Linked DNA regions of Coturnix japonica. The protein of the gene in region 2 interacts with the protein of the main gene of each other region in a pairwise test. Links are inferred from orthologs where the notes say so. Each region holds a gene or a part of one and is shown on either strand. Other genes may lie near its edges.

Evidence for each region.
Region 1: the proteins of SH3GL3 (region 2) and RPL35A interact in a two-hybrid assay, tested with the Homo sapiens proteins (2 studies listed by BioGRID and IntAct). The link is inferred for Coturnix japonica from reciprocal best matches to the Homo sapiens genes SH3GL3 and RPL35A.
Region 3: the proteins of SH3GL3 (region 2) and ATXN2 interact in binary tests that used the Homo sapiens proteins (3 or more experiments, as listed by UniProt). The link is inferred for Coturnix japonica from reciprocal best matches to the Homo sapiens genes SH3GL3 and ATXN2.

Annotation. Positions count from the first base shown.
Region 1 is NC_029524.1:13,176,445-13,180,526, forward strand, and holds RPL35A (60S ribosomal protein L35a), read left to right. Parts: upstream 1-1,399; 5' UTR 1,400-1,509; intron 1,510-1,803; 5' UTR 1,804-1,838; coding exon 1,839-1,849; intron 1,850-2,333; coding exon 2,334-2,486; intron 2,487-2,965; coding exon 2,966-3,110; intron 3,111-3,522; coding exon 3,523-3,546; 3' UTR 3,547-3,582; downstream 3,583-4,082. Other genes in the region: IQCG (dynein regulatory complex protein 9), read right to left, coding at 977-1,120, 1,209-1,298.
Region 2 is NC_029525.1:10,189,253-10,192,752, forward strand, and holds part of SH3GL3 (endophilin-A3), read left to right. Parts: intron 1-426; coding exon 427-499; intron 500-2,012; coding exon 2,013-2,156; intron 2,157-2,842; coding exon 2,843-2,976; intron 2,977-3,500. UniProt on the Homo sapiens protein: Implicated in endocytosis. May recruit other proteins to membranes with high curvature.
Region 3 is NC_029530.1:5,336,603-5,340,841, forward strand, and holds the start of ATXN2 (ataxin-2), read right to left. Parts: upstream 2,801-4,239; 5' UTR 2,694-2,800; intron 1,304-2,693; 5' UTR 1,277-1,303; coding exon 1,244-1,276; intron 551-1,243; coding exon 479-550; intron 240-478; coding exon 89-239; intron 1-88. UniProt on the Homo sapiens protein: Involved in EGFR trafficking, acting as negative regulator of endocytic EGFR internalization at the plasma membrane.

The sequences.
Region 1 (4,082 bases), on a different chromosome or scaffold from region 2:
TTATCTTTGCTGGTCTTTTGCCCTAAATTTAGCAGACAGAAGGGCTGCCTTCTCTGGGGAATGCACTGCATGAAGCAGTCTACAAGAGTCCCTGATTTAGGAACAAGCAACACAGTGACTGAGGCTCTAAAAGTTGGCTTCTCCAGAGCCATTTTCTGGTTTCTAAACTGCTTCCTCCTTGATTTGAGGATTGTACTCCATGGGAAAGTTGTGTCTTAAGAAATAAACTACTTAGTAAAAACGAGCCTCTGTGTTTGAAGAGAAAAACCAAGTGTACCTCTAGGAGGTCTGTCAGCCTCAGTGTGTGTGAGGGAGAAGGAGAACTGCGCCCACCATTCTCGGGATCTGCTGTATCAGATCAGCTGGCACAGCGGAGCTTTCACAGCCCCATCTGTGGGAGAAAAGCATCCTCGGCCAACAGGTGAGACGGGCTCAGGGTGCTCTCTAAGGAGAGCAGTGCCCTCTATAGCGCAGCCGGAGCATTGATCGAGCACTACAGTTATGTCGAGCAGCTTCTGCTCTACTTTATGCCTCTCCCCAGAACCACTTAGTTACGGTGTCTATTAGAAATCAACTCATTAATAACGGGCATTAATAATGAGTAGTTACTAATAGATTTTTGAAGGGAAATCTGTCTTATTTTGTTGTCTGTGGGGACTAGAGGAGCTTCAGTGTGTGCTTATAGAGTATCAGAATGACCCTGATTTGGGGTATTATCAAAGTCCCTGTTCTTTATTATTTATAAAGCTGTGCACTTAGGAGACGTCAGCCATCTGTTGTTTATTTTCCCCTGATCCTTTACTTATCATCTGACCACTGAGGTTGTAGAATGAAGCCTCAGAAGCTCATCTTATGTCACCAGGGTCCTTCACACAGCCATGCCAAAGAGACAAGTACCTGTGTGGAGACTTATAGAATGCTGACAGAAGACATAAAAGGCATTGAGAAAAATGAGAGCAAACACAGAGGCACATACACTGCTGACATCTGCCTTGCCCTCCTGTGAAACCGGCATGATGTACCCGAGGATGGCGAGCTGATCGATGCAATTCTCCAGCACAGCAGTGAGCAGCAGAGCTTCCAGCCGAGGGAGCTTCTCCATTTCTTTAGTGCCTGTGCTCTTGTAAAGAGGAATAAAGAGGAATAGAGGTGGGATGGTGTTAGTAACACTAAACCAAAGCCCACCCCTCTCCCTCACCGCTCAGTACCGTTCCGCGGCGCTCAACGCGACGCCGTCTCCATGGCGCCCGGGGTCCTGGCGGGGCTGTCCCTGCGGGTGCCGAGGCCTGTTCCCTCATCGCCGCCCGGAGGAGTAACGGGACTCACGGACATGGCGAGGGACGACAAAAGGCACCGATATCGGTGCACACCCAGCGCTGTGTCGGCCCGTACCGTGTGCGCTCAGGCTGTGACACGGGCAGCCCGCAGCCGGGGCCCTTAGAGCCGCAATCCCGGCGGGCCGCGCGCCGCCTCGTCCTTTGGCCGCCATCTTGGCTGCGCGCCGTGCTGGTGAGCGGGGTGCGGCGGGCGGGGTGTTGTGTCGGGCGTTGTGTCGGGCGTTGTGTCGGGCAATGACCATCCCGGCGGCGGCGGGGACACCGGGGCGGGGCGGATGGCGGGGTGTCGGGTGTGGAGCGGGCGGGATGGCGCCGATACACGGCGGATGGTGTCGGCTCTGGGGCTGAAGGGAGCTGAGGTGCCGGCGGGGCCTTGCGCTGTGAGGAGCCGGAGCCGGCCCGCTGCAGCCCGCGGTGCTGAGGCCTTGTCGGGCTGTGGGCACTGAGCGGGGTGTGTTGTTTGTAGGCTGAGCTGCCGGGACTGCGCTGCACGAGGACGCCATGACCGGGAGGTGAGTGTCTGCCTGTGTCTGTACGGCTGGATGGGGAGCTGCGCTGTGCTGACGGCACCGCTGAGTCTCTGCTGTCCCAGCACGGCGCTGCCCGGTGCACACACAGGGCGATCTCTGTGTGTGTGTGTTACATCGCTACGTTTGTGTTGCTCTCTTGAAACCCCTGTCTTCAGCTGGCTGTAGCAGTTCAGCCTTGAAGGGAACATAGAAACAGAAGGGGGGACCAACTTCTTACATGGCCTAATAGATTTCTGTGAGATGTGAAGATGTTTTTATACTCATTAAGCATTGAGGAACCAGCAGTGCTACCCAAAGCTGTGGGTGCCCCCTCCCTGCAGGTGCCCAAGGCCAAGTTGGATGGGCCCTGGGCAGCTTGAGCTGGTGGAGGCATCCAGCCCATGGTACACGGTGGGCTTTGAGGTCCCTTCCAACCAAAGTTTAATGTGTTAAACTGAGTTAATCTGTTCTTTCTCCATGTCTTTAGGTTGTGGTGCAAGGCCACTTTTGCTGGCTACAAACGTGGCCTCCGGAACCAGCGGGAGCACACTGCCCTGCTGAAAATTGAAGGTGTTTACGCTCGCCAGGAGACAGAGTTCTACTTAGGCAAGAGATGTGCCTATGTCTACAAAGCTAAGAAGTAAGTTGGTCGTCTTTTATTATCTTTTGCAAATGCCGGGATGTGAGCAGTCAGTTGGTTGGCAGCAAATTGAAGCGAGATGAGTTTGTGGTGATCATTGAGTTTTTGAGATCCTTAGAGGTGGAATATTTTGCCAGGCAAAAAGAAGTTGATAGAGCAGCCCTTGTGTGTGTGTGTCACAGCTCTGCTGTGCCTGCAGTGGTAGAGGCTTTAAGAACAATTGTTTATTGTCTTCTGCTTGATTTTTCTTTGAGAGTGGTTGTTCTGATGTCAGATGTGGAATTCCCTGTAATAAATTTGTCAGGCTGTTCATCACTGCTGTCATTTCAAGGGTGGCACGTGGCTTCTTGTAGCTGCTGCCTGTCTCGATGCCTGAGGCCCTTTGTGCCTGTGGTGTGACTGGAGAAATCCTACGTTAAGATACTCCAGGTTCATTCCAAAGGAAACACACTGAGTTCTGTGTCTTTTTGTTCCCTCAGCAACACCGTCACCCCCGGTGGGAAACCCAACAGGACGCGGGTGATCTGGGGGAAGGTGACCCGCGCCCATGGGAACAGCGGGATGGTTCGTGCCAAGTTCCGCTCCAACCTCCCCGCCAAGGCCATCGGACACAGGATCCGAGTGGTGAGCAGCATTAGGAACCAGGGGCTCCTTGTCAGCCTTTGGGCTGCCTCGTAATCTCATCTTGCACCATTGCTTTTTGTACTCTGCCTCATTTCCTACCTAGTGGCAAGGGAGCTGCGGCATCAACTTCTCTTACTCCCCATATAACTGCATGAGCTGCATGGCAGAGTCCTCAAAGTAGGCATGGGAAGGCTGAGCAGGAGAGTGACTGCTGGGTGGGAGCTTTGATACCATCAGATGCTGCTTCACGTCACTCAGCTCCTTGTTAGACTTTCCTGCCCCTTTTCTGCATAAATGGGAGTCACTTAAAATAGTTGAAGAGATCCATGATTCAGATGATAGCTATAAATTTGCTGACTTGTACAGTCCAATAACAGGAATTCTAACGTGATTCTGTTGTTGTGTTTTTCAGATGCTGTATCCATCCAGGATCTAAATTTTTATTGGAAATAAAATACAGAATAATCTGTTCCATTTTTGTACTTTCCTCTTTTTCATCCCCTCCACCTATATTGAGAGCTTTGATTCTTCAGTAGTGTACCACAGTACACAGCACACTGATGTAGGAGTGACTCTAAACTAGCTCCTAAGCTGGAGATTTGACCCGTACTTGTTAAAGGCATCTGTTGAGCAGGCTGCCTTTGAAAAGGCAAATAACTGCCAGCCTTTATCATTGCCTCCAATGTAGAATCTGAATGGCATGTAGGTCCAAACAATAAATGTTTGCAGTCTTTGTAGACCGTGCCCCCAAGTTTTCTATAGAAAATGAGAAATATTTCCTTGTCTCGTGTGTGTGAGTGTGAGGTTTGTCAAACAGAAAGGCAATGAAAGTGGATTTAAAGATTCTTAAAGTGCGATTTTCTTAGTGCATAAAAAGATACCGTATGACTTTAAGGGAAGCTTCGGGCAGCTGCAGGTTGTCATGGCTGCTGCTGATGTCATAGTCTTCTTTCACTCCCCAAAGGAATCATC
Region 2 (3,500 bases):
ATAGCGTTTAAAAACATAAATGGGATAATAGTGTAAATGGTTTAAATGGCCCTGACCCCAAGGCTGTAATTTGGGATATTTTTGATCTTTTTCACCTGGTGAGAAAAACAGTCATAGTAACAACTGTTGGGCTGGCAGGAGAAGTGTAGTCTGCAATACATAAGCAGCATTCAGGACTGATGAACCTGAAAGATAAGAAGTTCCCCCTGTTTTAATAGAAACCTTTCCTTCCGAGTGCTAACTGCCAATTCACTTATTTTTGGTGCAGTCTGGTTGCAAACATGTAAACAGCCATTTATTTTAAGCTGCCAGATTTGCTTTATTTTAAATATATTTTCATAAGCAGTTAGAATAGGATATTTAATCAAACTATACATTTCTAATAATAGATTTGCTTCTACTAACTATGCCACTTTTCTTTTTCAGAAAATTGATGTTACAAATAAAGCTGTAGCAGAGCTTCTGTCAAAATCCACGGAGTATCTTCAGCCAAATCCAGGTAAACTAGTAACAATAGGGGTCAAATTTTGTTGAAAATTATCTTCTTACTCTGAATTTCATCCTAAGTAGATAAAGGCTGATTGGGTCATTATTGTGAGGCTTCTGGATGTCCTAGAGTGCCTCACCTGTGTGCACAAAGAACTGTACTGTACAATGAAGCTATAAAGTATACATGCATCCTTGGATGTGTTCAGTTTGGAACACACATTGCATGGGACTTACTGGGCACGTGTAGGTTGTATGTGCATGACATGTATTGGATGGCCTGGGATGGTAACGGCACTGGTGTACCTATTTGTGCTGCATTTCCTGCAGTGGGATATGGATCCCTAAAGTGAAGAGAATGTCCTTGAATTTAACTTGTGCACTGCTGCCATCAGGGGTACTGCTGGTTATGTAGCCATGGGGAGCAGGGCTGTTACTTGCCTACCCAGTGTCTGAGTGAAGCTTTGCTTTTCCTGGACACTGTAAGGTCTGAGTGGATTTTTGGTAGTCAGTTAACAGGCTTCTAAAATTTTGGTTTGAGAAAAGGAAAGAAGGCATATTTACATCTACTCTTGATCACAAAGATGATCTGTTAAGAGTTGGAATTACTGTCCAAACCATCTGCTGGAAGAGCCTTCATTTTTTTAGAACTGTCTGACTGGATTCATGTTTAGTCTGCTGAATGTGATGAATTCAGAGATAGCTGTTTGTACTGGGTGCCTCACAAGATGCACATCACCAGAGAAGTTCAATATGTTGCTAATGCCTACAGGAGAAGCAACTAATGGGTTGTGCCTACTACAGGATGAGAATATTCAGCACTTCAGCAAAGCCCAGCTAAGGGTATTCAAGATGCAGTTTGTCACCATCCATGGCTCACATTTTTTAGGATATGTCCTAATGTTGGCTATTACTATGTCAAAGAAGCTGTTGAGTTGATAGTAGGAGTAGACTGGAAAACATTCCAAGAATAACTGCGTGGTTTTGTCGTGATATGATCAGCACCAAAATAAATTGATTTGCATGCATCTGTCTTTTCTGCAAAAATAGAAAAAAAAACAAACAAAAAACCCTCTGTCTTGAGTATTGGGACCACTAAAACAGTGGGGAAAAGAAGTCCTACAAAGTCCTCATAAGCAGGAGTGTGAAACTGGCATTGGCTGTACTTACAGGAGCCCATACTGTGTTTGCTATTTGCACTGTTTTTAATAGACTTCACAAACAGAAATACCCAGGGGAATGTGAATGTTGGTGAATATCCGCAAGAGGTGGCAGGCATTACCCCTGTGTGTCTGTCTGGAGAAATGCTGCCCATCCAGTTGGGAACAAAGCAATTTCATATGACCCTTACTGTTGAATGAGATCTACTTTTGACTATTAAATACTGTCAACAAAAGACTCGTGGATCTACAAACCAGCTTAGTGATTTGCTTTGTGAGATTGCTTGTTAAATGATTTATTGCTTTGAATAATTTAAAACTTGTTTTTATAACTCTTGTTCTTCTTCATGTTCATGTCCTTTTTAGCATACAGAGCCAAGCTGGGAATGCTGAACACTATGTCAAAGATCAGAGGACAAGTTAAAACCACAGGCTATCCTCAGACAGAAGGACTCCTAGGAGACTGCATGATACGGTATGGCAGAGAGCTTGGCGATGATTCTATGTTTGGTGAGTTTGTGTACCTCCTTTGAGAATATTTCCATATAAAGTTCTTCACAGAATATTACTCAGTGACGTAACCTGTGTAAATAGCTAATCCAGGTAAGAGAGCAAGCTATGTACAGGGGTTAGGGAGTGACTGATACAGTAATACCCAATGCTTCTGTGTATTTGTCCATCTCTGTTGCAGGTGTAACTAATTCTGTTTCATGGTTCCTATTATAAAAACAAATATCTTGTTTCTAAGTTGCCAAGGAATAATCCAGAGCAATCCGTAGATGCAATGTATTTTTTTAAGTACCTTTAAATAAAAATGGTTTTCCTATATCTGAGAAGTAAAGATTTTCTCGAGGAGGTGGAGGGGGGAGAGGGAAAGGCAGTTACTTTCCGAAGGCCTACAGCAGATACAAATATACCTCCTTGAAAGAACTGTATTATAAGACGTGGTTTTTGTTTGTTTTTCCTGAAGGGCTTAAGGGGAGATGGGGGAGAGGAACACAGGGTATGTTTTGGAGCAGAATTTTCCAGTACTAATTTTCTGCAGGAGAAAAGCAAGTGCATTTTTATTTTTATTTTTATTTTTTTTATTTTCCAAGGGCTACAGCAAATGCACAGTTGCCCACTTGAGTTTTATTATAAGATGCATTTGTTGTCTCATGCTTACTGAGATATAAGCAGCATATTCTTTACCATAGGCCTTGCGCTGCTGGATGCTGGTGAAAGCATGAAACAATTGGCTGAAGTGAAGGACTCGCTTGATATTAATGTCAAACAAAATTTCATTGATCCCCTACAGTTATTGCAGGATAAAGATTTGAAAGAGATTGGGGTAAGTTTGTCCGGATTATTTACCAATAATCAGAGTAAATCAGGCTCCAGTTCTCTGAGAGGCTTTTTTGGATGCCTAAAGGTAAATAAATGTCATAGCATTTAAGCTTATTTCTCTAGCAAAGTAGTGGCGAAATCTGCTTATAGTCAATGTCTGGCTTTTTTTCACCATAGTCTAGCTTTCTTAGTTTGCAAATCCCCATACATTCAGTTCAAGAAGATAGTGAAGAAAAATATATTCATTTTCTACTGTTTTGTTTTGACCAACATTTGTTATTAATTGATCTGAACACATGAGTAAGCTGTGATTTACTGTGACTGATTATTCTGTCTTGCTGCCTCAGTCACCAATAGCTGTTTATTATAGAGGCTGAAGGCTCTTCAGAGCAATCACAGAGCGATCTGAAAAGTGCCATCAATTGCTGAGTGCCATATCCCACTATGGGGAAAGATACAGGATGCTGAAGAATATATTTTTAACCTTTAATGTGAGGTTTTGTTTACAAAATGACAGTTCAAAAGAAA
Region 3 (4,239 bases), on a different chromosome or scaffold from region 2:
AAAAGCATTAAAAAAAAACCTTTTGAAATCTTGACTTACAATCTTAAGACATAGATAACTTTAAGAATCTTAAAAGAAAAATGTATACCTCTTCTTGCGTAATTGGTATCCATATCCTTAAAATGCACCATAACAAAATCTGAAGACTTGAATAAAATACTTTCTAGTATGTCTTCACGTTTTGGCCCCAAACTGGATTCTGCAGTTTTCCGATGAGCAGCATCAAGCACTAAATCACACTAGTAAAGATAAAAAGAATATCCTAATTGGATACACCACACACTACTGGTAACTCACATCCTTGAAAAAAAAGCACACATTTACAGAAATTTGCAAAAGTGAATCTGCATGTGTAAAATTTGACATGGATCAGTCAGAATAATTGATAATAAATATTCCAACTTAATTAAGAATTGATTATACTGTATTAGTACCTTTCAAAAGAGGGAAGAGTCAAAAAGGAAAAAAAAGCCTTTACCTTAGGACTGTAGGTTTTAAAAACTCCTTCATATATACCACCATTTTTCACCTGTACTTCACATTTGGATCCCTAGAATGCAAGAAAAATCCAAGTGTAGCACTCTGTCAAGCCTGACAAATGACACAAGTGATTTTCTCAAAGAATATATATTTACAGAAGCACAATGGGTAAAAACAGAGCTTAGCTTTCAGCTGAATCTACTTTTTCAACATTCGCCCATTTACAAATATGTCTCTGCATGCCACAGATACAAACACTTTGGTATGTCCCAGACTTTATTAAAGATCCTCACGGAAGTATTTTCAGCACACACAAGACTTTTGATTAGCTATGCATGCATGCAAACAAGTCTCTGTGCAAAAACAAATCCATGCATATGCACAGGTACAGGTAAGGTTAAGTTTTATCCCAGATTCCAGCTGCCATGGGACGGTCCGTATCACCAAGTTTTTAACACAAGGGATGAAGGGTTTCTATTCCCTATATATAAATTCATTGCTTATTCATAATCTCTCTGGAGACAGAAAATTCAAAACACGACCAATGAGCGTAAGAAATCTGCCATCCCAAATATAATCTGCAGTTTTCCAAGCCAAAAATACACAATAGCTATTACTATGACTGTTTAAATTTCAATCTTGGAACAAGATGCCCACTGCTGAACTTTAATATTCACTCCATTATATTACAATTAGTGTAATATTTAACAATTCTCTGTCACTATAGAAACTGTTTACACGCCTTGCAAATATGAAGACTTACAACAACTGATGTAAGTATGTGAACCATTCTCATGTTTGCATAGATGCCATCAAAAGAAATCTGAAAAAAAAAAATATAATAATGAAGTTGTCATTTTTATGGGAAACACTCATAATTCAGAAAGGCAATGAGACAAGAACAAAGTCAGCTCTCAGCAGTAAATAGTAGCTGCTAGAAAGACAATGGTCAAAAAACCTTACTTGGTCAGTATACATTGAATTTAAGTCACAGCAAATGCCCAGAGGATTCTACCCTTTCTCTGATCGATTAAATATCAGATCACCCTTAAAAACATGAGAAACCTTACAGTGTGCCTCAACCCAATGTAAACTGGGGTAGAACTCACATACCAAGTCTCACAACTGGGAAGCCCTGCTAGCAGCCCTCCCTGGGAACAGGAACAAGGCACCTCAACTGCTGCAGTAGGAGAAATGTTCCCTGAACTACATCTTTGCAGCAAACAGACTTGATAACATGCACTAACAGGAGATGAAGTCATCAAGTTGTGAACTGCTAAAGAGCTACAAGGCCTATTATAAAACTAGTCAAAAAACATTCACCACAGTTCTAGAACATGGGAACCAATGCGTTTAAGGATGGTCCTGTGCTCAACACTCAGTAAGCCTAACATACAGAAAGCCTAACACTTCCTACTTGTGCATCACCTTTTTCACTGCTCTCCCTCATAGCCTCTTTATTTTTACTGAAGAGACTCATTATCTTCAATATACACTTACAGAGGTAAACTGTAGTCCTTTCAGCCCTTCCTACTCCTGCCCCATTCCCTAGAATTAGTCATCCTTGAGAATCAAGCCACTACCAAATTAGCAAATATTTGATTAGTGCAGTTCAAAGATCCGTTTTTTAAATCAAGACCCAGATCTTCACCTTCCACAAAACATTCTACAAACCAAGTTACATCTAGAGTGCAACAGTGTTTTAGCCTCGACAATAACTAAAGCTACAAACACAGGTAACAGAGGCTTAGCTACAATAACATTGGGTTAGCTATTTTGTAGTAAAGCTGAACACAATTGCTACTTCACTTTAACATAGTGTTGTCTCACCATCTTCAGTCCTCTGTTTAAAGAAGTCAGTATAGAGAGTTTCCACAGAGGCAACACTTTTGAATCTGTTCCCAAGTTAAATTTTATCCATGTATTTGCAATTATAATCACAAGAAAGATTTTTATTGGCATGTTTCAAACGTGTAAGAGTTCCTTCTCTCCCCGTTCTCCCAGGAGACTTAGATCATAGAATCAGAGACTGAGATGAATGCAAGATATTCTACATTTAAAAAAAAAAAAGTCTAAAATACTCATTGAGGTATCAAAAGGAAAAAAAAATTATGAGTATTCCACAATGTGCCATTTTCACACTGCTAAGAAAGGTCATCAGAAAAGATGTTTCCTTGTATCTAAAGAGGAAACAACAAGGAAAAAATACTCACTGTGGGCTGAGGAGGTCCTTTGCCACTGCTGCGACCTCTGAAAGAAAACACAGACAAAAGAAACAATTAAGAAATGTTGAAAAGGATTGATTTCTTAACAAATAAGAATTCAAAAACCCAATTTAACTTTGTGCTGAGAATGAGAGCAAAGAGAGCTCAAACTTAGCAGTAACGGAGCCTATAGCATCTATCCCTCAAATTACTGACCTACAAGCAATATCAGTAAATGGGTAAAAAGGTTACCTACAATAAATGGCAAAACAAAGAAAATACTAATGCTGTGTCATTACAAAAATCCAAAAATATTCTCTCTCAAGTAGAGTCCTGTAGCTAAGGGAAGTTCCAAAACCTATTGGTGCAGAGAACCTAAACTGCTTCACTGCACTTCCAGGCAATTTTTGCAGCCAATTCTCTAGGCCTGGTTTCTCCACACTGCCACCATCCTTCTCTGTTGAGGGTCACCCAAACAGCTGCCCACAAGGCCCAGTTCTCAGTCTCTACTTACAGCTTATGTGCTTGTAAGAGAGCACCAGCCACACACAGCCCCTTAAAACCAGTAACCACACACAAATCAGTGAACACATAACAACCTCAACACTTCAAAATGCCTTTAAATTAACTCGTAGACTCTTAATGCTCTGCAAACTGAGATGTAACAGTCTGTCCCTTTCAACTCAGCCCTAGAAGTGCCAACAACATCCCTGCAGCTGCCATAAAACCTCAGGCTGCCTGGTGTGCTTCATGTCCTCACATCCAAGCTCCCTCTGTACAAGAAGCAGCCCCAGTTCCAACCACTTTTTTGTAGTGATTAAGGTTTGTACAACAATAGGAAGCCCCACTTTCAAATCTTTCTTGTGATGACTGAGATTTGTATCACAATGACGACCTTAAGAGTGCACCCAACGAGAGTAAGGCAAAATGAAGTCTTCAATTTTATTTACGAAAACATCCATTTTTGCAACTGACTCACCTTCCAGATGCACATCCATTTGATCAGAGACCCAAAGAATCATGTTCATGTTTCAAAACAGTCAAACAATGCTGAAACCTAAACATCAAATGTGTTCAAATGCGTCTGAAAGCACTGTGCTGTAGCTGAAGGCAGCTGTGCTCCAAACCATGCCCTTATTATGAGCAGGACTCACAAGCTGGCCAAGGAATTCTCATGAGCACAAATTCTGCAGAAATCAGCAAGTCCATCGGAGGAGCAGAAATGTCCATAGCAAGGAAAAAACAAAACCAAAGCCCCACTGACCTATCACCTGAGCAGTTGGAGAAAGCAAGATTCTGAGCCCAGTGTGCCATCCTGTACAGCATCGCTCCCACCGATGACATTTGCTGATTGGTAATAAATGCAGACTTCAGATGTCAAGCTGACATTTTCAGGATACTTGCAGAGTTCTAATTTCATACATACCAAAAAAATTCTAAACCAAATAGCCTGTATTTAATTACCTATAAGCCTTGGCTTTCTAGAAGACAAGTCACAACTTTTGGCTCGTCCTGGTGACCAGCAAGTCTTACCATTGAGTAAGGCTGCCATTTA